Linked DNA regions of Arabidopsis thaliana. The protein of the gene in region 1 interacts with the protein of each later gene in a pairwise test. Each region holds a gene or a part of one and is shown on either strand. Other genes may lie near its edges.

What was found. The genes of interacting proteins can lie anywhere in the genome.
Region 2: the proteins of ABI3 (region 1) and ABI4 interact in a two-hybrid assay, tested with the Arabidopsis thaliana proteins (one study listed by BioGRID).
Region 3: the proteins of ABI3 (region 1) and WAVE2 interact in a two-hybrid assay, tested with the Arabidopsis thaliana proteins (one study listed by BioGRID).

Annotation. Positions count from the first base shown.
Region 1 is NC_003074.8:8,994,332-9,003,593, forward strand, and holds ABI3 (AP2/B3-like transcriptional factor family protein), read left to right. Parts: upstream 1-3,038; 5' UTR 3,039-3,579; coding exon 3,580-5,259; intron 5,260-5,459; coding exon 5,460-5,552; intron 5,553-5,697; coding exon 5,698-5,798; intron 5,799-5,931; coding exon 5,932-5,978; intron 5,979-6,095; coding exon 6,096-6,172; intron 6,173-6,284; coding exon 6,285-6,449; 3' UTR 6,450-6,854; downstream 6,855-9,262. UniProt on the Arabidopsis thaliana protein: Participates in abscisic acid-regulated gene expression during seed development. Regulates the transcription of SGR1 and SGR2 that are involved in leaf and embryo degreening.
Region 2 is NC_003071.7:16,794,233-16,801,047, reverse strand, and holds ABI4 (Integrase-type DNA-binding superfamily protein), read left to right. Parts: upstream 1-3,462; coding exon 3,463-4,449; 3' UTR 4,450-4,801; downstream 4,802-6,815. Other genes in the region: AGL48 (AGAMOUS-like 48), read left to right, coding at 6,720-6,815.
Region 3 is NC_003070.9:10,188,123-10,198,766, reverse strand, and holds WAVE2 (SCAR family protein), read left to right. Parts: upstream 1-3,553; 5' UTR 3,554-3,866; coding exon 3,867-4,003; intron 4,004-4,477; coding exon 4,478-4,641; intron 4,642-5,043; coding exon 5,044-5,167; intron 5,168-5,260; coding exon 5,261-5,390; intron 5,391-5,478; coding exon 5,479-5,546; intron 5,547-5,624; coding exon 5,625-7,803; intron 7,804-7,927; coding exon 7,928-8,020; coding exon of another isoform or gene 8,021-8,047; exon of another isoform or gene 8,048-8,120; coding exon 8,121-8,237; intron 8,238-8,364; coding exon 8,365-8,415; 3' UTR 8,416-8,630; downstream 8,631-10,644. UniProt on the Arabidopsis thaliana protein: Involved in regulation of actin and microtubule organization. Part of a WAVE complex that activates the Arp2/3 complex. Regulates trichome branch positioning and expansion.

The DNA of each region.
Region 1 (9,262 bases):
TATTTCTATTTTCTATTTTAAACTAAAGCATAGTTTCTCCAATATATTAATTTATATATTTACTCTAGGATAGAATTAGATTCAAAAACTAGAATAGAGAATATAGATGCTCTAAATAGACAATAATTCTATTACTTACTCTATTTTAGAGTAAAACATATAGTGATGCTGACAAAAATATTATTTTATAATAGAGTTTAGAAAGAAAAGAAAAAACAAAAAAAACTTGAAGATGCTGGAACTATTAAAAATTAAAGAAAAAGTTTAAAATGAATAATGCTTTTTATTCTTAGTTTTTTTTTTCTTTTTTTTCTTTTAGTTGATGTTAAAGTTTTAGTCAAATCTCCAAAATTTGCAAAAAAGATACATTAGTTACGGACGGATATATATTAAATAAATTAAGTCACAAATATCATATATATATATATATATATTAATTTTTTGCCTAGTTTTGTTCCAAATAAAATTTTCAATTTTTAGTGTACAATATTTTTCATCGTCCAAATACACAAACACAACAAATAATAATACCACTAATTTATTTGTTTTCTAATATAATTGAACCTTTTCTAATTTTATTAAATAGGCTGAAAACCATAAATTATTTGGAGCCAAGATTAAATTATGTTACATAAATCCTTTTCTCGTCATCAATACTCAAATTTAAATTTTTTTATTTTCATAGATATTTTTGGGAATTTAAAATCCTTCCAAATAAATTTGGGAAAATAATAGATGTTTTAAAATATTTTTGTTATTTTCGAGTAGTTTACACTGATTTTACATCACTTTATGGATCAAGACCATAAAATTTAACTACATTTATTATAACTTATTTGAAAAGACATGAAACTTTCATTAGAGTTTAGGAAAATACGGCAAACTATTAGATTATCACCCTCTTGTGACTAATGTTAATACTATTTGGTAAAGCAAATAATCCCATAACTAATTTTATTTTGATTTGTTCACTATCAATTGTATCATAGACGATCCGATGATTAATGTACCTAAATTTTGATTTAAATTGTATTCCTTGTAGTACGCATAGTAAAACAAAGTTCACATGTTCTTTTACAATTGGTTTTCTAACATTTTAGATTTCATTTTAAACTAAAGAAAAAGGGTTTTTCGATCCCAACAATTTTTAAAGTATGTTTTTGAATTTCAACAAACGACTAGTACTGATATATACATCAATGCTTACAAAAATCAAATTATCTATCTCAACGTTTACTTTTGTACGTAATTACAAGTCAATATTAACAAATATTAGTCAACTGTAACGGTTGTTGACTCAATTGATACGTGTACGTTTAGGTGGCATGTTTTTTAATAAAATAATTTTGTTTTATGTTTTGGGATTAAAAATATTTACTTTTAAAAAACTAAACCGAAAAACTGGAACCCCCAACCTCACATATTCATCACCATCGTATCCACAAACATTATCGAGACATAAATAATAATTTATAGATATATAGCAACAAATTGGAATTAAATTAATCAAACAATGTCATTTAGAATTGGGGAAATCCTAACCGACGTTATATGATTAATTTTAATTCCAATTTATGTATGTGTATATATCTATAAATTATTATTTATATATTGATGATGTTCGTGCATGATGGTAATGGTAACCTTTAAAACTTTTGAATCTCAAAACGTAAAACAACGTCATTTGGTTTGAAGAACATGCCATCTCGACGTACAAGTGTTAGCTGATTCAACAACCGTTACTGTTAATTACCATAACTAACGTTGACTCATAATTATGTACAAAAGTAAGAGTTGAGGTAGATAATTTGAATTTTTTAAATGTTAAAGTATGAACATTACTAATTGTTTGTTCAGATTTATAAAACACAGTACCTATTTTGATGTGTTAAAATGTAATCGGGAAAATAGGAATTTTCCCAAGAAAAAAAAATACACTAAAATTTTGATGTGTTAAAATGTAATAAATACAAGTACCTATTTCTTTCTACAACAGGTATCACATGATCTGCTCAATCTCATTTTGAAGGCAAGGTCGAACCCTGTTTGTAACTAAATATTTTACAAATACACTAAAAGTTTTGTTTTGTTTTCCTCATGCAGAAAAAAGAAAAGAAAGAAGAAGAAAAAAAACTCACAAAAACATACATTGTTCTACAATATGTTAAAGTAATTGTTCTAGGGTAATAAAATCCGTGTCTGCCTCTTCCACTTCAATAGGAAAGTGTAAGTTTTTCGAATCTTTTTGGCCAGATAATTTAAAACCGACCGAGGAAACTTACTTTTGTAAAAGTGACCATTTGCACATAGGAAGTAGAAAGTTGATAATTGGAAAATTTATAATATTTTATACAAAAGAAGTGTTTAAGAACCACCGCTTGGTCTCACCACTCAAATTCGAACGTATGGCTCGTGGGCACAAACTCCTGTACCAACCTTTAGATACTAGCGGCACGAGGAGACTTCTATTTTCTCTTTGTTTTTAAGTTTTTTTATCGACTTAAATATGGCTTTTTGCACCATTTAATTTCAAAACCAATGTCTTTCTCTCGAGGAACTTTGTTTTTATTTCTTAGAAGATGAGGGGAGATTTACTATCTAAATAAAATTTTAAATGTTTGTAAGTATTATGAGCTCAACAATTTTGTCAATAGTGCCACAAATTTAAACGTTTGCTTTTTGTCTTCTTTGAAAAATCAAATGCTGAAAAACTGTTACATCTCTTTTTCTTAAAAACTCTTGTCTCTCTCCTTTTCCTTCTGCTGAGGTAATTGAATGCTGCAAAGAGAAAGAGAATAACTTAAACCCAAAATTACACTTACCGCCAGAAAAAAAAAAGAGTTCAGTTTAATCTAACATATTTTATACAATACAATTGAATTATATTAGTAAAAAAAAAACTTCCATATAAATCATGGAACAAACTGGAACACATGGGCTCTCTTATTTTAATTTATTTTCTTTTTTGAGGGATTTAACCATGTTTATTATATAGTTTTATAAATATATATATACCATCTCTCCATAATTTATAAAATGAAAGAAAGAGAGAGTCTTCTTGTTGGAGTAAACCCAAACGGTTTTAGATTACTTATTAGCTGTTCATCAGTTCTTCCTCTCTAAAAGAGTAAAACCTAAACATCTCTCTCTGTTCTATTAGAACCAAAGACCAATCTTTGTGAACAAAACACATCTCGTATACTTCAGATCTAGACTCGAAAATTTTAGACCTCTTTACAATTGGTCTTTGTTCATCTGAAGTTGGAGAAAATAGTTAGCTTAGGTCGGATCTTTTCATATGCTTTGGATCCTCCTTCGTCTCTTTTGTATAATTTTAACCTTATCAAGAGTTCTTTTTGAATCTCAAAAGATTATATAGTAGTATAGAAGGTTTATATGTATATGTATAGCCAGATAGTTTATGTTGTTTAAAGATTCGATGATAGCCAAGTTGGGTTAACTTTCTTTTTCCTTGCCTCCTTACTCACATACAAACCCTATCTGTCCGTACAAAATACTAAAAACCCTAACTTTTCTCTCTCCACCAATCTAGTTTATTGTTTCATTTCCACTTCAACGATGAAAAGCTTGCATGTGGCGGCCAACGCCGGAGATCTGGCTGAGGATTGTGGAATACTCGGTGGAGACGCTGATGATACTGTTTTGATGGATGGAATTGATGAAGTTGGTAGAGAGATCTGGTTAGATGACCATGGAGGAGATAATAATCATGTTCATGGTCATCAAGATGATGATTTGATTGTTCATCATGACCCTTCAATCTTCTATGGAGATCTCCCAACGCTTCCTGATTTCCCATGCATGTCGTCTTCATCATCGTCTTCAACATCTCCAGCTCCTGTCAACGCAATCGTCTCCTCAGCCTCTTCTTCTTCGGCAGCTTCTTCCTCCACTTCCTCAGCTGCTTCTTGGGCTATATTGAGATCAGATGGAGAAGATCCGACTCCAAACCAAAACCAATACGCATCAGGAAACTGTGACGACTCTTCTGGTGCATTGCAATCCACAGCTTCCATGGAGATTCCATTAGACAGCAGTCAAGGTTTTGGTTGCGGCGAAGGCGGTGGTGATTGCATTGATATGATGGAGACTTTCGGGTACATGGATCTACTTGATAGCAACGAGTTCTTTGACACCTCAGCTATATTTAGCCAAGACGACGACACGCAAAACCCTAACTTGATGGACCAAACCCTTGAGAGACAAGAAGACCAGGTCGTTGTTCCGATGATGGAGAATAACAGTGGTGGAGACATGCAAATGATGAATTCTTCCTTGGAACAGGACGATGATCTCGCTGCTGTGTTTTTGGAGTGGCTAAAGAACAACAAGGAGACTGTGTCGGCTGAGGATTTGAGGAAAGTAAAGATAAAGAAAGCTACGATTGAATCAGCGGCAAGAAGACTAGGCGGTGGTAAAGAAGCGATGAAGCAGCTTTTAAAGCTGATTCTTGAATGGGTCCAAACTAATCACTTACAAAGAAGACGCACCACCACCACCACCACCAACCTCTCTTATCAACAATCATTCCAACAAGATCCATTTCAAAACCCTAACCCTAATAACAACAACCTAATCCCACCGTCCGACCAAACCTGTTTCTCACCTTCAACATGGGTTCCTCCACCACCACAACAACAAGCTTTTGTCTCGGACCCGGGTTTTGGATACATGCCTGCTCCAAACTATCCGCCACAGCCAGAGTTCCTTCCTTTACTTGAATCTCCACCGTCATGGCCACCACCACCACAGTCTGGTCCCATGCCACATCAACAATTCCCCATGCCGCCAACCTCGCAGTATAATCAATTTGGAGATCCAACAGGTTTCAATGGATACAACATGAATCCGTACCAATATCCTTATGTTCCTGCAGGACAAATGAGAGATCAGAGATTACTCCGTTTGTGTTCCTCAGCAACTAAAGAGGCAAGAAAGAAACGGATGGCGAGACAGAGGAGGTTCTTGTCTCATCACCACAGACATAACAACAACAACAACAACAACAACAATAATCAGCAGAACCAAACCCAAATCGGAGAAACCTGTGCCGCGGTGGCTCCACAACTTAACCCCGTGGCCACAACCGCCACGGGAGGGACCTGGATGTATTGGCCTAATGTCCCGGCAGTGCCGCCTCAATTACCGCCAGTGATGGAGACTCAGTTACCTACCATGGACCGAGCTGGCTCAGCTTCTGCTATGCCACGTCAGCAGGTGGTACCAGATCGCCGGCAGGTAGACATGCACAATCATCTTTCTCATTGTTTATTCTTTAATTTAGCAATACTCGAATAGTTTGTGTAATTGCACCACTCGTTTGGTTTGATGAAGAAGCTAAAGATTTTACATGTGTTTTTTTTGATAAAATGTGAATCGGAAGATTATACATTTGCAATGGAAATGAAATGATTTTGATCTTTTTGGTTTGATTTTAGGGATGGAAACCAGAAAAGAATTTGCGGTTTCTCTTGCAGAAAGTCTTGAAGCAAAGCGACGTGGGTAACCTCGGAAGGATCGTTTTGCCAAAAGTAATTTTTCTTCTAATTTCTTGTAGCCTTTGCTTTCCATTTTCTAAAAAAGGTTCAATGTTTGTGTAAAAATATTGTCAAGTTTTTATTTTATTTTTACTCTTATTGGTTAAGTTATATTTTACTGAATTTTTATTTTTTTTAGAAAGAAGCTGAGACACACTTGCCGGAGCTAGAGGCAAGAGACGGCATCTCTCTGGCCATGGAAGACATCGGAACCTCTCGTGTTTGGAACATGCGCTACAGGTAACTGATTATGATGCTAACATGTTAACATTGATTCTTTTTATAAAAACAATTCGTGTATTTTGTCAAAAATTGGAACTCGACCAAAATGTTTTTTCGGTTATTTAATTGTCTTCTTAAATTGGTTTTGCAGGTTTTGGCCTAACAACAAAAGCAGGATGTATCTCCTCGAGAACACCGGTACGTTTTTGAAAATGTACCCGTTAATAATTTTCCTTTCTTTTGGTTTGTTTGTTCTCTTGTAATTATTGTTGTGGACGCATACATATCTAATTTTCCTTGAAATTACGTTTACAGGCGATTTTGTGAAAACCAATGGGCTCCAAGAAGGTGATTTCATAGTCATATACTCCGACGTCAAATGTGGCAAATATGTAAGAGAAGCATCACAATATTTTTCTATACTTTTCATTAGTATTTAACTCTCATCATTACTTTTGTTGGTATTTATCTTGTCATAATTAATTGAGAATAATATTATGACAGTTGATACGAGGGGTTAAAGTAAGACAACCGAGCGGACAAAAGCCGGAGGCCCCACCGTCGTCAGCAGCTACGAAGAGACAAAACAAGTCGCAAAGGAACATAAACAATAACTCTCCGTCGGCGAATGTGGTGGTCGCTTCACCAACTTCTCAAACTGTTAAATGAAAAACAGAGACAAAAAGAAACAATATAAATATTATTATGTACCAAATAAGAAAGAGGGCAAAAGGAAAAAATGGCAGCGTACCCGAGTGTGCCACTTCTCGTGCATGCATGGGATCTTGAAGACAAATGGAGGGTCATGATTAAAGCTGTTTGGTCGGGGTCCGGGTTTTTACTCCATTTTTTGCTTTTTCTTGTCGAGTCGGTTCTTTTATAACTCTTTACTCTTTTTACCTTCAGGATATTGTAGAGATGATTAATTCTGGAAATGGTGTTTGTGTTATATTTCTGGAGAGATGATTATATAGTTCTTTTGTTGTTGTAATTGGTTAATATTACATATGTGGCTCATTTCTTGAGTCGAGCTTACATATCGTTTATAATGTGAATGTTTTAAGAAGAGTTGAATGATACAATATTTTTACACAAACATTGATAATGATAATAAAAATGATAATTAATGTACAAAATTATTTGTAAATATGGACATATGGACAATTTAAGAAGGAATTGAGATAATTAATTTTGTACATTAATTATCATTATCAATGTACAAAATTATTTGTAAATATGGACATATGGACAATTTAATGATAGTAAAAATGATAATTAATGATAATTAATGTACAAAATGATAATTAATGTACATATGGACATATGTACAAAATTATCCATATCATTCACATATTCACATTGTAAATATTTGTAAATAGAATGTTTACATATGGACATTTTAAGAAGAGTTGTTCCTTACCACTTTGATTCTATCATTTTCTTGTTTATCTAGTTAGCTTGAACCCTTTGTATTATTGAGTAACGAAAATCTTTGGAGGAAAAAAACAAGTGAGGTAGGATTATAATTTTCCTCATATAAGTGTGTTGTTTGTGATACATCATTATTCTTTCTTATTTTTGGTTAAACCCAAAAACTGGACCGCACCTAAGGAATTGAGATATTCAAAAAAACAATGATCTGACCCGTGCCAAATATCCACACCACACCTTTCTCCATTCAGGCCCTACTAGAAAGCCGTGAGACGGTTGACAACTTGAAAACAAAAGACTTATAATGAGACTATGAGAAACAAAAAAGAAAGTGGAGTTGATGAAATAATCTGATCTTATGAAAGTGAAGTTGATTACAAAAGGAGCAGCGTGGTAGTTGAATAGTTTCAGATGTTGATAAAGACGTGACATACATAGTTGTCTCAGTAATCTAATCAAGGACTCCTCATGTTTCTAACTTCTTCTTCTATAAAGTTGCATGAGATTTATATCTGGAGAACATATATTGCTCTAATTATGTGGTCTTATTATCATCAATATATGCCTTTTTCTACATATGAATATATGATCGACATGTATAGATATTTTTTGTTGTTCAAAAAAAAAAAATGTATAGATATTTTTTTCATTTTCCAAAAGGATTGAATTTCGAAATGGTGTAGCCACCTTAGAGGTATACAACAATAAATAATTTTCCCGACTTGTAACAAATGTTTGGAACAAAAGTGTCAATTAGAATCAAAGTAACCATCAGATGCCTTTTATAAATTTCTTTATCTATGATTATTTTTTAACCAAATTCAGACACTTCTATATTACTAAAAGCCAAACTTGATATCTATTTCAACAAAAAAATTTTTTTTTAGTCTGCTGTGACTCAGTATATCTAATTGTTTTCACATCATTCATAAACTTTTACTAGTCCATTGTAAAATACAGTATATTAGAAATTGTTTTCCTATCTATATATGCTTAGGTTTAAGAAAACAACTTTTGGCCATGAATATTTGAGTTTTTAAGTGGTTTTGGATTATAGATTTTGCCAAAAGGAAAAAATATTGATTTAAAATTACAAAAAGAAATCTGCAAACAATTATCAAAAACTCATTAAAGTGGGATTTATTTTTCATTTTGTTTACAAAAATGCGAACTCTAATCTTGATTGGATAATTAAATGGGTTTTTGGAAAACCAATAACTATGCTATAAAGTATAAACTACTACCATTCAAGCCTTCTATTTTTCTATGCCAAAAAATACTACGCAAAAAAAATTGAGCGTGTTTGATCCAACAATAAAACAAATTACTCAATCTTGTTTGATGTCAAAATCCAAATCCAAAATATGTTTCGGACACCTGACCGGTCTACTCGATTGACACCCCTGAAATTTCGAAATAGACAATACACAAAAGGACATAGACAACATAACTTCATCTCACTTAGATATTCACATTTCCCATTTTTCAAAATATTGGCTCTTCATTTTCTGTGTACTTCCAACAAATTGTCTTCTAGAGAAACCAAAACTATCTAAGATTTCTCCACCTTCTCCATCATCCACCGTTGATTCACTCATCTCATGTCTCCAATGACTCATCTACGGTCAAGATTCAAGGAGCATGAAACATCCCATGAACCAAATTACACAAAAACATTTACCTTGATAAAAAAACATCATTTTATTATTTTGGCAGAAGAAAAAGTCTTAATTCGAACTTTGAGCGTGCTTATAGTTTAATCAATTAAAGTTATAAAGAAAAGTAACTTTATAAATTCAGGAGTAATCAGTAGATTTATACCATTCTTGTCCATCGCTTTAAGCCACACTTGATCGGACGGTAAGCAATCAATCCGGTTTACACTTTCTGATTATAAAGATTCCAACTTTTGGTTATATCGGACGGTTAATAATCAATACGGTTTGAGTTTAAATCATAGCCGTTGAGATGTTTGACTAAAGTGTTTACAAAGTAGTCAACACTCTCTTTCTGCTACAAAGGACCAGTCTTGAAACTCAAAGTCCTTACCT
Region 2 (6,815 bases), on another chromosome or scaffold:
TTACCTGTAAACAGATACAAATAAATGGTTTTGGTTAGGTTTGTTTAGTTTGTGTATAGTTGCAGAATTCGTTCGAAATATATAGCTAATTTGTTCAGGATTTAAACCTTACACTTAAAATGGACGGATTATAAAAAAGGAATGGACCAGAAAGCCCAATATGAATGCTTCTCCATCGTCTATACTATAGAGGCTTGGTGAGTGATTTGAGTTGAGGTTCTTGAAGCCTATAACGGCTTTATATGTTTTAGGACCTTACTGGTGTTTTTTCTTGGGCATTATTAGCCCAGAGCATTCATTTCACTGTGCGTTTTGGAAAATAGAAATGTTTTGAATCGTTAACAAGTTTTTGGACCTTACTGGTGTTTTTCCTTAGGCATTGGTTGAGAATTTCGTAAAGGTTTTTTGAGAATTCATTTTTTTTTTTATATAGACGCACACATAATCTTAGCTGTTGTTTAAAGTGCAGCCCACGGTTTGTAATCGTGGGCATGTGAATATTTTTATCATCTTGCTCGACAATATTCCTCTGCCGCAACAACCATTTGCTTTTTTTTATATGAAAATATTCAAACATGAACACTTTCTATCTTTCGAAACATATATTTGATCCGTTGCAGAACTTAGTGAGCAAAGCATTGAAATTCTTTGCCTTTTGATATAGTCATCATTTTAACTTAAGCATCTGGAAATCATTTGACTAAAAAAAAAGCCTTCAACAATGTCTCTTTAATGTTATCAAATGTTTGAGTCATTGTTATACAAAATTTCACGTGAATGATTGAGATTGGAATAATCAAGCTATATTGATTGATACTATATAATAAAGTGGATAAATGCAAGAAAATGAATGTATGGCGCAACTAGTTGGGTTCTGCTGAGACATAAAAAGGTGAGAGTTCCAAGGCAATTGGGTTGAGATCTCAGAAACCACAACACAAAAAGCTTTGGTTCTTTTGCTGTCTTTGCTTCTTTCCTCGCCACCTCATCTCTCCCATGCAATATTCCTATTTTTCTCTTCGTTTAATAATTGATAGTTTTGTAGTTGGCAAACAACAAAAGTAAATCCCTTGCAGACGAATCTTTAATTCTATATTAGTAGTATCAATGAAAAGTTTCTAAGTAAACTTGTTATTATGACGATAGTTCTAAGAGTTATGTTTTATAGATTAAAAGGAGTCATGTATATGCTACCATTCATAAGAACAATAGATAATTCAACAAATTCTTATTTTATTTATTTTTACTTTTAGTAAAAGAATATTAAGAAAATTTGTCTCTTAATTTCAATGGTATAAGATCTAAGAAGTCAAGTTTTTATTTCGAAAAAAGTCTAAACGTTAATGGTCTTCCATTTGTTATATTTGTGGGTCAAACATCATAATCTATACGGTAGATTAGTCTTTCTAGGCGACCAAAAAAATAAACTCTCTTCTCTTCTCTCTGTTTTCAAAATTCCTTTTCTTATAAAAAATGTCAGTTATATTTTGTTTTTAATATTTCTTAAAGTCGAAGCATACATAAATGATGACAAAAAAAGAAAGAAGAAGCGTACATAAATATCTACACTATAACTCCTCTTTTTAATATATTTATTTATTTATCCATTGACATGTGAGTATTTTAAATTTCTACATAATTCTTTTTTAAGATTAATAAAAGGTGTAGTATCCAAAATCTAAATCTATCGGACGAAGTATTTGACTGAAGCCAAGTCGTCTTCCAAGAATGGTGTTAAGTGGACTAAATGAACACATATATCTATGTAATGAAAGCAGAAAAATAATTACTGTGTCTCTCTGCATCTGTATTTCTGTCCCTCCAGTGGCTGCAGCAGGCAATGGATCTGCAACACTCTCCGAGTGCGCAAATCAACTTATTTTTCTTCTCCAAAATTTAACAAGTACTACTCCAGAAATATGATTCTAGTTTTTACTTATGTCCAAAAATATGATACGTGTTGTACCAGATGTTTTTCCTCCGATCCCTTAATTATATCTATGTTTACAATTTTATTTTACGTATAAAGATAAAACATCAAAAAAATAGTATCATAAGGTGATTTCCCAACAGCTTAAATTTTTCTCTAAGATCATAATCATCAAGTATAGAAGCTTCGGTTAAGTTCAACACTAAAAGTTAGATTAAAACCAAATTAGGGGCGAATATGGTTAGACCATCTCCAATGGTCACCTCTATAATTTTCTCTATTTTAGAGGTGCCTCTATTTTAGAAGCATTGTGCTCCAATGGTCACCTCTAAAATAGAGTTTCCTCAAAAATAGAAGAAAAATTAGAGATGAATTGTAGAGATCTCTATTTATAGAGACAAAAAGTAAATATTTCTATTTCTTCCTCTATTATAGAGAAAACTCTATTTTAGAGGTGACCATTTGAACATAATGCCTTTAAAATAGAGTCACCTCTATAAATAGAGGAAAATATAAAGATCACTATTAAAAATGCATTTAGATCTTTTACTAGGGTTGTTGGTAATGGTAGATTAATTACCTTGATCCTTTTTAGTATACTTATCTGTTAATGCTTGTTAACCACTTAAATTGCAAGAGAGTTGAACAAAATTGGGTAATTCATGCCACGCTTTGTAATTATTCATTGATTAGTGTTTCATTCTCTACAATTTATGGCTAATCAGCCCCCGTTAGCCGTTATGTAATGATTTATTCTAGTTTCATTGCTTGCCAACTTTAAACGATGCTTTTAATTCTTGAACTCATAAATCATTTTCTTTGTTATCTTTGTCTACTGTTTTATTCACTTGATCTTCTTAATCTTTTAAATTGCCTATCTTTTGCTATGTTTTTGTTACAATTTAAATTGACAAGTACTTAGAAAAACAAACAAAAATGATATCTCTGTTCCATCTTAGATTATTCGTTTCTTATTTCTCTTAATATATATTTTTGAACACGCTTATTTCTCTTATATATGTTGCAATATTCCTAACCTTGGTGAATTTGATTCAGTTCTCTCTGGTTGAATCCTCTGAAATCTGAATGCCTTGGAGTGTTTTCAACATGCGAGTATTTCTCACAATTACCCATCCAATCAAAGAAAAGAACCAACTTCAAGATATTGTTATATATCGCTCATGATTTGCTATAGTTACCCAAAAGAAAGAAAGCAATTAAATGTTTTTATAATATCCTTGATTACATTCCAATGTGTAACAAGTAACTTATGACAACACAAATTTCTTCTTTGGTAGAAAACAAACGGGTAAGTAAAAAGAAAAGAAAAAAAGAAGTGAGTGAGAAGAGAGTGTAAGTATAAATAAAAGAAGCACCGCCCTAATCGACCATTCACAACGATGACATTCAAACACTCTTCAGTTTCCCTTCCTTCTTGATTCGTCCTCTCCACTATTTTTCTCAATTTCTTTAATCTCTCTCTTTCTCTCTCTACTTCCTCTTCCTCTTCTTCTTCTTCTTCTTCTTCATCTATGGACCCTTTAGCTTCCCAACATCAACACAACCATCTGGAAGATAATAACCAAACCCTAACCCATAATAATCCTCAATCCGATTCCACCACCGACTCATCAACTTCCTCCGCTCAACGCAAACGCAAAGGCAAAGGTGGTCCGGACAACTCCAAGTTCCGTTACCGTGGCGTTCGACAAAGAAGCTGGGGCAAATGGGTCGCCGAGATCCGAGAGCCACGTAAGCGCACTCGCAAGTGGCTTGGTACTTTCGCAACCGCCGAAGACGCCGCACGTGCCTACGACCGGGCTGCCGTTTACCTATACGGGTCACGTGCTCAGCTCAACTTAACCCCTTCGTCTCCTTCCTCCGTCTCTTCCTCTTCCTCCTCCGTCTCCGCCGCTTCTTCTCCTTCCACCTCCTCTTCCTCCACTCAAACCCTAAGACCTCTCCTCCCTCGCCCCGCCGCCGCCACCGTAGGAGGAGGAGCCAACTTTGGTCCGTACGGTATCCCTTTTAACAACAACATCTTCCTTAATGGTGGGACCTCTATGTTATGCCCTAGTTATGGTTTTTTCCCTCAACAACAACAACAACAAAATCAGATGGTCCAGATGGGACAATTCCAACACCAACAGTATCAGAATCTTCATTCTAATACTAACAATAACAAGATTTCTGACATCGAGCTCACTGATGTTCCGGTAACTAATTCGACTTCGTTTCATCATGAGGTGGCGTTAGGGCAGGAACAAGGAGGAAGTGGGTGTAATAATAATAGTTCGATGGAGGATTTGAACTCTCTAGCTGGTTCGGTGGGTTCGAGTCTATCAATAACTCATCCACCGCCGTTGGTTGATCCGGTATGTTCTATGGGTCTGGATCCGGGTTATATGGTTGGAGATGGATCTTCGACCATTTGGCCTTTTGGAGGAGAAGAAGAATATAGTCATAATTGGGGGAGTATTTGGGATTTTATTGATCCCATCTTGGGGGAATTCTATTAATTTGTTTTTGTGGAAGATCATATTATATACGATGAGCATCCCTAAGGTCGGTCAAGAGCATTGGAGATTCATTGTTGAGAGGAATCAAAGAGATTGCATTCTATGAGGAGCTCTGCATGCAAAATTTTGGAGGATTTTTTTACTACCTATAGAGATAAATAAGAGGGTATTTTTATTATTTTTTTGAAGATTTTTATTTTCAAGGAATTCGTAAAAGAGATTACGGTTCCAATAAAGTATGTATATGTGGAAGAGAATCGGAGGAGATGGTGGAAAGTTGTATGGGAATTTTATTGGTTCAACACTTCCTTCACAGTGTGCCTACCTTAATATATAATTATTGATAGGATATGATAATTTCTGTTTGGTTGTTCGAGTTTCAGAGGTTATATATAGTTATATTTTGTTTATCTCTGAGAATATTTACACATATCTCTATTAAGTTTTAGTAATATAGGAATCATCAATGTAGAAACTATGGAGAGAAACACGTTTTCAAAAAGTGTTCATCACTGGATGCATAATTGTTGTCGTTGAGAAGATTATTTACATTATTCGAGCTGGGTATTCTCACACCAACACTTCATATTCAAGTTTACAATTTTTTGTATCGATCATCCTTCAAAGTGTTTGGACATGATTTTGTCCGAATCCTAGCTTTCTTTGACTAAAAAGAGTTCTCCGTTTCTGTATTTCCCTTGTCCTGTGATTTCTTGTTTACTATGGTGTTTATTGGAAGTTGACAAGAAAAAATCAATTTTATTTTTTGTTTATGATTATATTTCGAATCTTTTAACAGTATTATACAAAATTTAAATTAAAAATAATCCCATATCTGACTGGGTTATACATGAATATTTCAATATTAATAATTAATTTAATTTATAATAATTATATATACAAAACACAACAAAATAGATTATTATATTTTCATTTGTTATATGAAATCACAACACTTTTCTATATCTTGGTTACGTAATAATTTAAGTGCACAAATATGGGTATGGTGATTCATATACTAGATAGAGATTGACATAAACTTTTCTAGAACCGATTATTTTGGTAATCAAATCATACAATGTTGTTTATGAAAGATCACCAGACAATGTGGAATAAAGCTTAGTTTTATTGTTTTCCTCTATATCTTGGTATTATTGAAATCTGGCAAAGTAGTACCAAACCGAATCCAAAAAAAACAAAATCGAGAAACAAAGAGAGTTACTACGTACACAAAAGAAAACATTCAACCACAACAACACAACGATGAGAGAAAAAAGATCGCTAAACAAAGAAAAAGAAAAAGATACAAGATGTCCATTAGAGTTTTAAGAATATATTATTCTCTTATATTTTTCCCTTAAAAGTATTGTTGTTTCAGTTTTTTGTATAAAACAATTATAAACAATTCTCAGTTTAGAGTCTCAATGTAATAACAAGAAAACATCTGAAGTAAAAAAAACAATTTATAAATAAAGAATTCAAGAGTCAACTTTTATGTATACATATGGTAATACATATATATATATATTTAATTCATACTATGTAAATATGAAAATGATACTTACACTGAAGAAAATGTATAGTCAACATTTAGTTTCCAAAATAATTATCTAACACTATGAATTAATATGATTCACAACAATGAAAATAATGTTAGTCAATATAATCATTAGCATTAAATAATGACAGAACAATTAATTAAATCATCAATTTGGTATATTGACTAGGACCTAAATTTGGACAGAAATTCAGTTATTTCAATTTTCTGTAATAGTACAATTAACCACATAAAGATTTTAACATGTTAATGGTTTGATTTGGATTTTAGTTTTTGTTTACTAGTATTGTTTTTAAAGAATAATCAATGTAAAACCAAATCCAATATAGTTTGGTAAATTTTTAATTAGCTTTGAATTCAGTTCTTAAACTTTTACTTTTTTAGCAAAATAAGTTTCATTTTTAGTCAATTTTCTATGGTATTTATGATATTTGAAAATAACTTTATAACCAAAACATAGGAAAATTCTAGTTTTTGAGTTGATATTTTCAACTTGGTTTAGATCTAAAAGGTTTGGTTTAACTAAAACATTACCATAGACATTCAATATTTTTTAGTAAGTAGCAATTAATTTTACATCTTTTGACTAGTATCATTTTCCAAAATCTCATCTTTTCAACACTATTTAAACGGATTCCCGCGCTAATCTTCATTCATATGCTCAACAACATTTAAAATTTTAAAAGAGAGAAATAAAAATCGAAGAGTGATCATGACAAGAAAGAAAGTAAAACTTGTATGGATCGAGAATGACAAGTCAAGAGCAACAAGTTTGCAAAAAATGAGGGTAGGATTACTTAAAAAGGTG
Region 3 (10,644 bases), on another chromosome or scaffold:
CACATCTTACACATATAACAATGTTAGTACTATATACGTGTGTTAGCTTACAGGCTGTCCGACTACGAAGTCAACGATCGATTTATAGATTAGATATGTATAAATCATCGGTAGTTACGTAGTATTAGTCTACAATATTACAACTAGTATTCGAGTTTCTAAACTAATACTAAGAATTAGCCTACGCAATTACTTTCACAAAACAACAAAATCATTATTGAATGATCTTTCCTTTATGAGGTTGTCCGAACGCAAAGTCAATGATCGATTTAGAGATGATAACAGATATAATAGTGCAACTTGCTGGCATTTATATATGTTGAGAATCTATCACCCTCGAACACGTACCAACTGATCACCAAGATCAGGCGGCTAAAAAGTGCACTCGGTCTAGGAGTTTCGAATACTTGAGTTAAAATGAAATTTTATCTAGTTCATATCTTTGTATATAGACTACAATACAAAATAGTGTATTGGCAACAACGAGACCATTACTATGGGTGTTAAGTGTTAACATAAATTGTTTGTATCGTATCTACTTATTTTCATGCTTCTCTAATGATTATATATTTGTATATTACATCATACGTATTTTTATCATCAGGTTCGAGTATAATATTTATTTTGAAACTACAAAGCCACAATGAAATTTGGTTTATTCACTGTTGGTGACTTTCCCGCCACATTATAGCTGGTGTTGGAAGCTCATTAATTTGACTAATCAAAACAACAGAAAACAGATTCAATAATATTTCTTACAACAAGAGCAATATGTTGAATACAAAATATGGAACAAAATATTAATCGAACAAACACCGATATTATATTATTTTGTATGGACAACACTTCATACAACCTATATATGCAAAATGGTCGAGACATATGAATATATGATTGTAGGAGCAATGAGACCATGACTCTAGGTGTTAACACAAATTGTTTGTATCATATCTACTTATTTGCTATCTCTTATATGATTATATATTACAGTCATACATACCCTTATTATCAGGTTTGAGTTTAATATTTGTTTTGAATTTAAAGCTTCATTGTTTGATAAATTAAATCTAAACACTATATGGACGTAAGCCCCGTCGAAAGATAACAGAAGTCTAAAGCAAAATTAAAATTTGTTTTGTTCTAATTTCTTTCATTTCAAAATTATAAAGATATTAATTCTAGAAAATCCATATAGTTATCTCATATATGACAATAAAATATTTAATCAGTACAACTCTACCAAATAAGCAAAATATAAGCAATTATAAAAAACTTATAACAAAAGGATAAATATTTTGTATTCAGTTTAAGAATTTAAAACAAAAATAGATTACCTGTTTATGGAACTTCGGTTTTTGTTATGGTAGAAGGTAGATTACACAGAAAGAGAATAAGAAAGATGATACAAAGGATTTTAGGCAGAAAGAAATAATTATGAAATTGCATGGCATTGTTAACATAGACTAGAACTCTGTTTTGAATGCATAGATTATTTTTTCGAAAGAGAAAAACTTTCATATCACATGATTTTTTTATTTTTTTTTGGATACAATCATACATATAATGTTTGATGGATGAAAGACAAAGCGAACGCCAAGTATAATTTGTTCATAAAAGATCAGATTTTATGATATCTGGTGTTTACGATATCGCCACCAGAAGTATCCGTCATTTTGAAGACCAAGTTGAAACACCATAAGGGGTTGAGTTTGACAGCCTCCCTGTATGGCTTCCTCCCACTTCTATATAACACCAACAACTCTTAGTTATGCTTCTTCTTCTTATATTAGTTGAGAATGAAATTAAGATTTTCTTCAATATCAAAGTTGGTGTTTTAGATACAATTGAGTCTTATTATGAGGTTTTGGGTTCTTTTGAAATCCTTTGATGTCTCTTCTTCCATGCAAGTTCGAATTGTAGGATACAAAAAAAAATGTCTCTCTTCTCTTGTCAACTTGAACAAAACCACTTGGAAGATGATTTTCCGTGTTCTATATGCTTAATGACATTACTGCTTCTTGATTTCCTCTTGTTTTTAACCCAAATTGGTCTCTCCCCAAAGTATAATCTTCTGGGTCTTTTTCTTGTAAAATTTGGCATGCTCCAAGATCTATATTAGTAGCTATCTCTTTTTTTTTTGGTTTTTGGTGGTTGTTTGCCTTGTTCACTCCTCCATATATAGTAACTCTTAAACTGTCGAAACATTACCGTATAACATGTTTGTTTGTAGTGATTATTTTAATCGATGTTAATATGCATCAGTTGCAAAAAAATGATATTAATTTTGCATCATTGAATATAAGTGATTTATTATTTGTATCAATTTATCAAAATAACGTTAATATTTGCAACATTTATAATAAATAATTTTAAGTGTTTATATTAATTATAATAACTTATAAAATAATACTAAATTAGTTTTTATGAAACAAATATCTTTATTAATTAATATTAAGCGAACACTTAAATTTAGTTGGGATAGTAACTTTACACTTTTTGGACACCATCTAAAACCAGAATTATGTAACTTTACATATATAAAAAAATTATGGAGGTTTTTTTTTCCTTCTGTGGGAGATATGTGGTATGTAAACAAATTGAATAAACAATTATATCAGTTAGTGCAACTGATGCTAAATCTGTAATTAGCATCGGTTATTATTGATTTAAATTTTGTATCACTTTCTAAATGATTAAAATTCACATATTTGTATTAATATTGTGAAAGTGAGGCAAATAGACCTAGATTTGCATTAATTTTAATGAACTGATGTCACACAAACTAATACGACATCAGTTATTGCAATTGATGTTAAATTATAATTTTTGTATCGATTGTAAATAAGTAATTCAAATTAGTATTTTTTAAATTTTTGTTGCAAGTTAATTGATACAACTAACCTTTTTTGTAGTGAGATTCTTGAGACATAATATCCCTGCCTCTTCTTCTTCTTCAATTGTTGGGGTTGTTCTCCCAATCATAAACATTCTGGTGGATGTAAACATAAAGAGCAAGTGATTTTAACTCTTGTATAGAAAACTAGGAGTCTTGAATGCATTGGAGAAACCACTTTGCATCGGATATGCTTAACTAATTTACCTAGTTCCAAGAATTATAAATGTGGAATTCCACGATTACAATTAAAAATTGTCTACATTTATTGTATCATACTAGAACGTACTATTTGTAATATGTCCATCTCACTCGTTGGACTTTGTTTCAACATGTAACCAACCCAACAATTTTATTTATTGACAAACAAACAAATCCTTACTCAAATAACTACAAAACTTGACGAAACATTTATTTGACATTGACATTCTCTCACTTTTTTTCCGAAAACCACTTCATTTTTAAATTACAAAATCGAACATTTATTCTGTAATCAAAATTAGAATTTAATGTTCATATCGTGCGAACCAATAACCTTTCTTTGAACCAAAAATAAAAATAAAATCCTTCTTTTCTCAAAACCCCATCACGTAATAACACACAAAATACAAGGGTAATTTGGTCTTTCTACTTTTCTGTAAACCCCCCACTGGTAAATGAAATTGGAAAGGAATGGCTTGCGATATTGGCAATGTCAATGTCTCTCTCTCTCACAGTCTCTTTCCCTCTCTGCCTCCAAAATTTCCCTCTCTGTTTTTGAGCAGTTAAGCTGCCTCATCAATCTCACTCACCAGAAACCCATCAACAATCATTAACCTTTTTCTCGTTTTCATCAAAACCCATTTTCTCAATTTCTTCAAAAAAAAACCTTTTGATTCTTTCTCCTAATCCTTTTCCCAGCTCTCTTAATGCTTTAGCCACAAAACTTTTTGTATCTCAATGTGTGACAGTTTTGTACCTTTTAAGAGAAAAAATGCCACGGAATGTATACGGTATGAACCAAAGCGAGGTGTATAGAAATGTCGATCGTGAAGACCCTAAAGCAATTCTCAATGGTGTTGCAGTTACTGGACTTGTTGGGGTCTTGCGTCAGCTTGGTGATCTCGCTGAGTAAGTATTCAATTCGAGCTAATGTTGCGTCTCTTTTGGGTATCTCTACTGTTGAATGATTCTTTGAGCTAGTGGTGAAGTTAAAGATGAGAATCATTACTTTGTGTGAAAGTAATTGCCTTTACTTGTTTAAGGTAATCTAATTGGTGTTTGTAGCTACAAATTTGGGAACCCATTTTGATTGCATGATCCTTTGAAGTTTTTGAGTTAAGCTTTAGCAAAAAGGAAGAAGCTTTATTCATTTATGATTCTATGATTGTTGTGATGTTTCTATCAATCATTCTCCATTTTTGCTGTGTTTAGTTTTGTTTCATGAGCTTAGTTTATGTTTCTTAGCAACTCCTTATGTGGTGACTCTTTATGTCGGCTCTGATATCAAGCTTAGTTTGGGTTTGGAGTGATCTCTGGTTGATAAGGGTCATTTTAGCACAAAGGAAGAAACTTTCTTATCGATTGCTTTTTCTCTTGATTAAGGTTTGCAGCAGAGATATTTCATGGGATACAGGAGGAAGTTATGGCTACAGCTTCAAGAAGCAATCAGTTAAAGATTAGATTGCAGCATATAGAAGCTACAGTGCCTCCACTAGAAAAGGCGATGCTTGCACAAACAACTCATATACATTTTGCATACACAGGAGGTTTGTTTTGTCTTCTTCCCTCTTGTCAATCTTCTTATTGTCTTGACCCAAGGTGTCTGATTCTTGTTAGGTTTCACATTAATTCTTTTAATAAATTATGTCACATCCTTAGTTCATTGTAGGCCTTCACATGCTTTTTCACTTACCCTAAAACTAAAACTTTCTCTGACGAGGCTAGTTTAGAATCTGGAATGATTGAGAAACTAAATCATTGTATCTTCTGCAAAACCTTAAAATAGATTAACTTAAAATTGAATTGATAGTATTAGTTGTTTGGTTCCCCTTGGCAAACTTTTATTTATTGTATTGAAACCGTGGAAGTAATGGGTGGTGAGAAAGTGGTCATGCTTGTATTTTTCTTACTTTATATCTTGTGAACTGAAGGAGTTTAATGGGGTTCAGGTCTGGAGTGGCATCCTCGTATCCCAATTACGCAAAATCACTTAATTTATGACGACTTGCCTCACATTATTATGGATCCCTATGAAGAATGCAGGGGTCCTCCACGGTTACACTTGCTTGATAAGTATGCCTCAAGCTAAAATATTTATATCTGATATGTATGTACTATGTACTATAATCCATCATGTTATACTGATTCTTTGCTTTATTTTCTCAGATTTGATATAAATGGTCCTGGATCTTGCTTGAAGCGATACTCAGATCCTACTTATTTCAGAAGAGCATCAAGCAACCTGAGTCAAGGAAACAAGAAGTTCCAAAAAGATAAAAAGCATTGTAAAATGAAGGTGTGGTTCTCAGATTAAATTGGTAAACCATTTTCTGTAGAATTCTCTTTTACTTGACACATATATATCTGTTTTCTGGCATGGACAGAAGAAAAAAACTTCGTCAAGGAGTCGAGATATGTCACGTTTGGCCTCCTTGGCTAACCAGAATGCCAGGTAAATTATAGATATTGTTGGCATATTTAAGTTTCCGTGCACCTAAAGAATAATTAACTCAGACATAGTTCACTCCAGGAAGACATTTGCTTCATTTAGCTTCAGTGGACAAACCTCTTCTACCAAAACCACCTCAACCAGTGACATGGAAAAAAGATATGATTTTCAAGATCATCATTCTCGCTCTTTTGAGTCCAGAAGTGGTTCAGGCTACAATGAATGCCTTTCAACTGCAACTTCTTCACTGAAGACTGGAGAAAGACCGAAAGGGGTGTTCGTTTCATCCAGCTTGACACCAGGCTCTTGCACTATTGCTTCAGTCCTTTCTGAATGTGAAACCGAAGATGCTCATGATAATTTCCAGTTTAGTCCTTCTCAAGGGCAAGCTGCTCGTGGCTCTTCTTGCGTTAGTTGGGATGAGAAAGCAGAGATAGTGGAATCTCTTGGTCTGCAGACAGATGAAGCTTCTGAAATGGTGGAGGCGAACTCTGTTGTAGATACTCTAGATGAGAAACCAAGCTATGGGGAAGGGATAGGTGGAGTTGATTTCCATTCTAAGGACAATGAAAATGATAAATCAGAATCAGGACTACGAAAACGTGCTGGGATTGATGAGGTAAGAGAGATAAAAAATGGTCGGGAGATTGTGGGAGAACCGAGGGATAGTGAACAAGAGACTGAAAGCGAAGGGGAGTGTTTTGTTGATGCGCTTAATACTATCGAATCAGAATCTGAAAACAATCAAGGGCTTCAAACTAGTCAAGTGAGCAGTTCCTGTGGTGTTGCAGATGAGAGGTTGGAAAAGTCAGTGTGTGAGCAAGAAACAGAGCAGAATTCCTACAGTGTCGAAGATTCTTGCAGATCAATGGATGGGCTTATGGCCAACAGTTTTAAAAATGAAGAGAATGCATCGTCAGAAAATGTATCTGTTGAAATGCATCAACAAAATCTACAGGCGGGTTCAGATATCAACCGCTTACAAAAAAATGATCTTTGTGCAAACAAGGATATGCGTAATGATTCTGGTGGAAAAGATACCATCACATTTACATTTGTGCCAGGTCTCGAGAACAGCTTAGTTGATTCATCAAACCCCTTGATTCATCATGGCCTACAGGAAAATCAAGAAACAGAAGCTGAATCTTCTGGGGATCTCGAAGCCTTTAAAATATGGACTAATGGTGGTCTATTGGGACTGAAACCATCGAAACCTCCAGTCTTGGCAATGCCAAGTTCTTTAAGTCCAGATTGCAAGACCGAGGAAAGGACAGTTGGTTTTGCAGAAGCTGAAAAAGATAAAGCAGATGATCTAGTTGAAAATGCTTCACATAGACATGTTCTGAATAATTCAAGCTTAGCAACGCCAGGAACCCAAAATCCAGGTAGTTCAAATGGCATAGTCATGGGTATTGTAGACCAAAGAGAGTCCCATGAGACTTCTTCTGGAGTTTTTGGACTCAGCCACAAGTTTCTTACTAGTGGTTTCCGCAGAAAGGATTCATTTGCACATGATAGAAAGACTGTACCAGCAACGATTCCAGAGAACGATGAAGTGACTACAGAGAGGAGGAGGTTTTGTGACCAAGATATTAATGAGAAAACCTTTATGGACCCCTTCAGAGACGAAGCTCCTATTGATTGGATCACTTCGTCTCCGCCTCTTCAACACATGAAAATATCTCTCAATCCCGCTGACACTCTTCAGGCTTCGAGACTGAAGCTTAAATTTTCAGATGGAGACAACACTTACAATACCTTTTCCTCCTTCCAGTTGCTTCCAGAGACTGGAACTTCCCTTCCTGATTCTTATTCTGACGACGACACTTTTTGTAGATCATCTCCTTACATGTCAGATACCGATTATCTTAGCGATAATCACTCCTTGTCAAATTCTGAGCCGTGGGAAGAATCCAGTGACAGCCATGGAAGAAAAGAGCAAGAACTATATGATTCTTTCCACGAAAGTAGGCATGTTGATAACAATGCTGAAGCTTCCCCTCTAGGGATCAAATCAGAAAGTTCTTGCGTCGCCGTAAACCTCTCATATCTCCAAAATCCTGCTGAGCCCTTACCACCGCCATTTCCACCCATGCAATGGATGGTTTCAAAGACACCTTCAGAGAAAATGGAAGACAAAACACAGTCCCTACAACTACAAGAAGCTCTCAGGTTTGCGTTTGAGAAGCATATTTCATTGCCTACAGCTAAGAACGAACTGCCTAGCATGGTGACTTCTGCTCCTAAACCAGAAATTAAGGTATGGAGAAGATTTTGACTCTTTCTTCCTACTTTTCTACAGTGTGGGTCAGTTCCATATATTCCAGATGATCGTTTTCAATATAGTTCAAATTACGAATCTTAACAAGCATATGTTCTCATAGGCCCATCTGAAGAATAATGTCAGGGAGGAGAAACAAAGTGCCAACGCAAAGGAGACTGAAACTGGAGACTTCTTGCAACAAATCCGAACACAAGTGAGTGCAAATAGTTCCTTTTTGTGAAAGAAAGTTATATTCTGATGCTTGATTTGTTATATCATCTTTTGCTACATTCTTGGTTTCTTTCAAATCAAAGCAATTCAACCTTAGGCCTGTGGTCATGACAACGACATCATCGGCTACTGCAACAACTGACCCTATCATAAACACTAAGATCAGCGCGATTTTGGAGAAAGCAAACTCAATACGCCAGGTTCATCCTCTAACTTCTGCATCTATATATATCCAAAGCAAATCTAATCTTTATTTCAGAATCTAAGTACTTTTTGTCTTAAATCCAACACAACATTATCTATCACTCACTCTTTTCTTCTTTTCAGGCTGTAGCTAGCAAAGATGGAGATGAAAGCGATACATGGAGTGATACGTAAAAGCCCTTTATCAGATTCCATTTCATCTTTGTAATCTACTCTCTGAACGACATAAATGGAGAAAAGGGGTTCAAGCTAGTCCTGCAAGAATTTTTTGTATTTTGTATCATATCTAATGTGTGGATTTGTGTAGGTGATAGTAAATTTTGTCGAGTGTGATCTGTATCTTCAAGAAAATAAAGTAGTGCAAGAAATAAAAATGAAAGTAAAATCTATAATGCCCATTCATCTTAAGGAAAACTTTCTAGAACTTGGGATTTTAGCCACGAGCTTGCTACAAAAAAAATTCATGACCATAAAGAGCTAAACTTAAATTAGTCATGGACTTTTATCCTAGAGCAACTAAGAAGAATCCATGGTCATAGTTTTTTTTTTTTGTAGTACCACTAAATTTTATAAACAAGATCAACATTTGACTTGATATTACCATCAAAGCAAGTCGGCAATAGCAACATTGAACGACAAAACAAAGTAATGATTCACGTTTACGGTTATTCGATATATTTCAAGTTACGAATGAGAAGCATATGTTCTCATAGACCCATCTTAAGAATATTGTCAGGGAGGATAAACAAAATGCCAATGAAAAGGAGACCAAAACTGGAGACTTGTTGCATCAAATCCAAACACAAGTCAGTGTAATCGATTCTTCTCATGAAAAAAAAAAGTATTTGGATTCTTGATGTTATATCATCTTTAATTGCATTCTTGATTTCTTCCATAGCATAAATATTAATTCAACCTGAGACTCGTGGTTTCCACAACGACGGCCCTACCATCAAAATTCAGATATCATCACGATTCTATTTTGGAGATATGAAAACTTTATACGTTAGGTGCATCTTCTGATAATATTTGCTTGATTAGTTAATTAAGATTGTAATTCTCCTCTCTAAATTACTCTATGCACGACACCTTAGGTTGCGGAGAGACAACCTATAAAAGGGTTTAATCTTGTTATGCAAGTAATTCTTATTGTGTCGAATATCTCATGTGTTTATTGTGTAGTTTATAAGTAAATTTTGTCGTACGTGATATATACCTTCACGAAATGAAAATATAAAATATATACAATGCTACGTTTTTTTACGTAGTGGAAGTAATAGATTAGTTTTTGTTTGAAATGCATTATAAAAAAATATGTTTTTCTATTCGATCTCTGAACTATATGGAAGAGTATCAGTTTTGTGTCAGCTGTGCTACCGTTTCTTGAAGCAATCGCGCAGTTTAAAAAGATTGAAGGAGAAATATTATTTTTAAAATTTAATGGATTATGGATTTGATGATATAAAAAAAACTTTAAAAAAATATCAAAAAAGTGAGTTGGCAAGTAGAGGTCTCAAAACACTTAAGCCGTGAAGTTCGCTTACGTTGTGGCCTTTAATTGTTTTCTTATACTATTTGCCACTGGAATCAAAAGATTAAAAAATAATAGAGATTATGTTATTGTGTGCACTGTATTAATTTCTTAATGTCTGTCTCGCATTTATTAATATCGAATATTAAATCTTAGAAATTTGCTTGTGGACATGTGATGGGATTATTTTTTTCTAAATGGGATATTGAAGTACTAACAGTTTTTGTGGAAAAAATGTTTCTTGAACTATAGAAGTATGGATGACAGAATTATAACTTCAGCTGGATGATAGAAACATACAGCATAATTGTGTCTACACATTTTTGTTGTTGAAAGTGCCCGTTTAATGATTGATCAAGAGCTTAGTATGGTAGTATCCTACGTACATTAGCTAGGTCTTGCGTTCAATCCCAAACCCGGGTAATGAGTATTTCAAATTTCCAAAATTCGAAATTAATTTTTTTAAATAATTCTCCTCAATTCCATCCTTTTTCTAAAAAAAGTTGTAATTCTAAATCGAAAGTAAAGATTTTCAAAGCATGTACCCTCAAGGAAAAGTGCCCCTTTTTCTCAATGAAACTAAACACGTATAAAGTTTAATTATTTATTCAATATCCCACTTTATCTAGCAATAATCAAACATTATCGACTTTATTAATTGTATGGATGTCCTTTTTTACTGTGGAATATGGAACCATTAGTATTGAAAGTTGTAAGCCTCGGAAAGAAACTTTGATCATTAATATCAATATGATATCCTTTTAAACCCTAACCATACGTTTATAGAGCTAATTTACATTTTATGTGGCCATGTGAGATAACAAACTAAATCAAATTTGTATTTTTGGACGATATACGGTAGACGAGTTTGA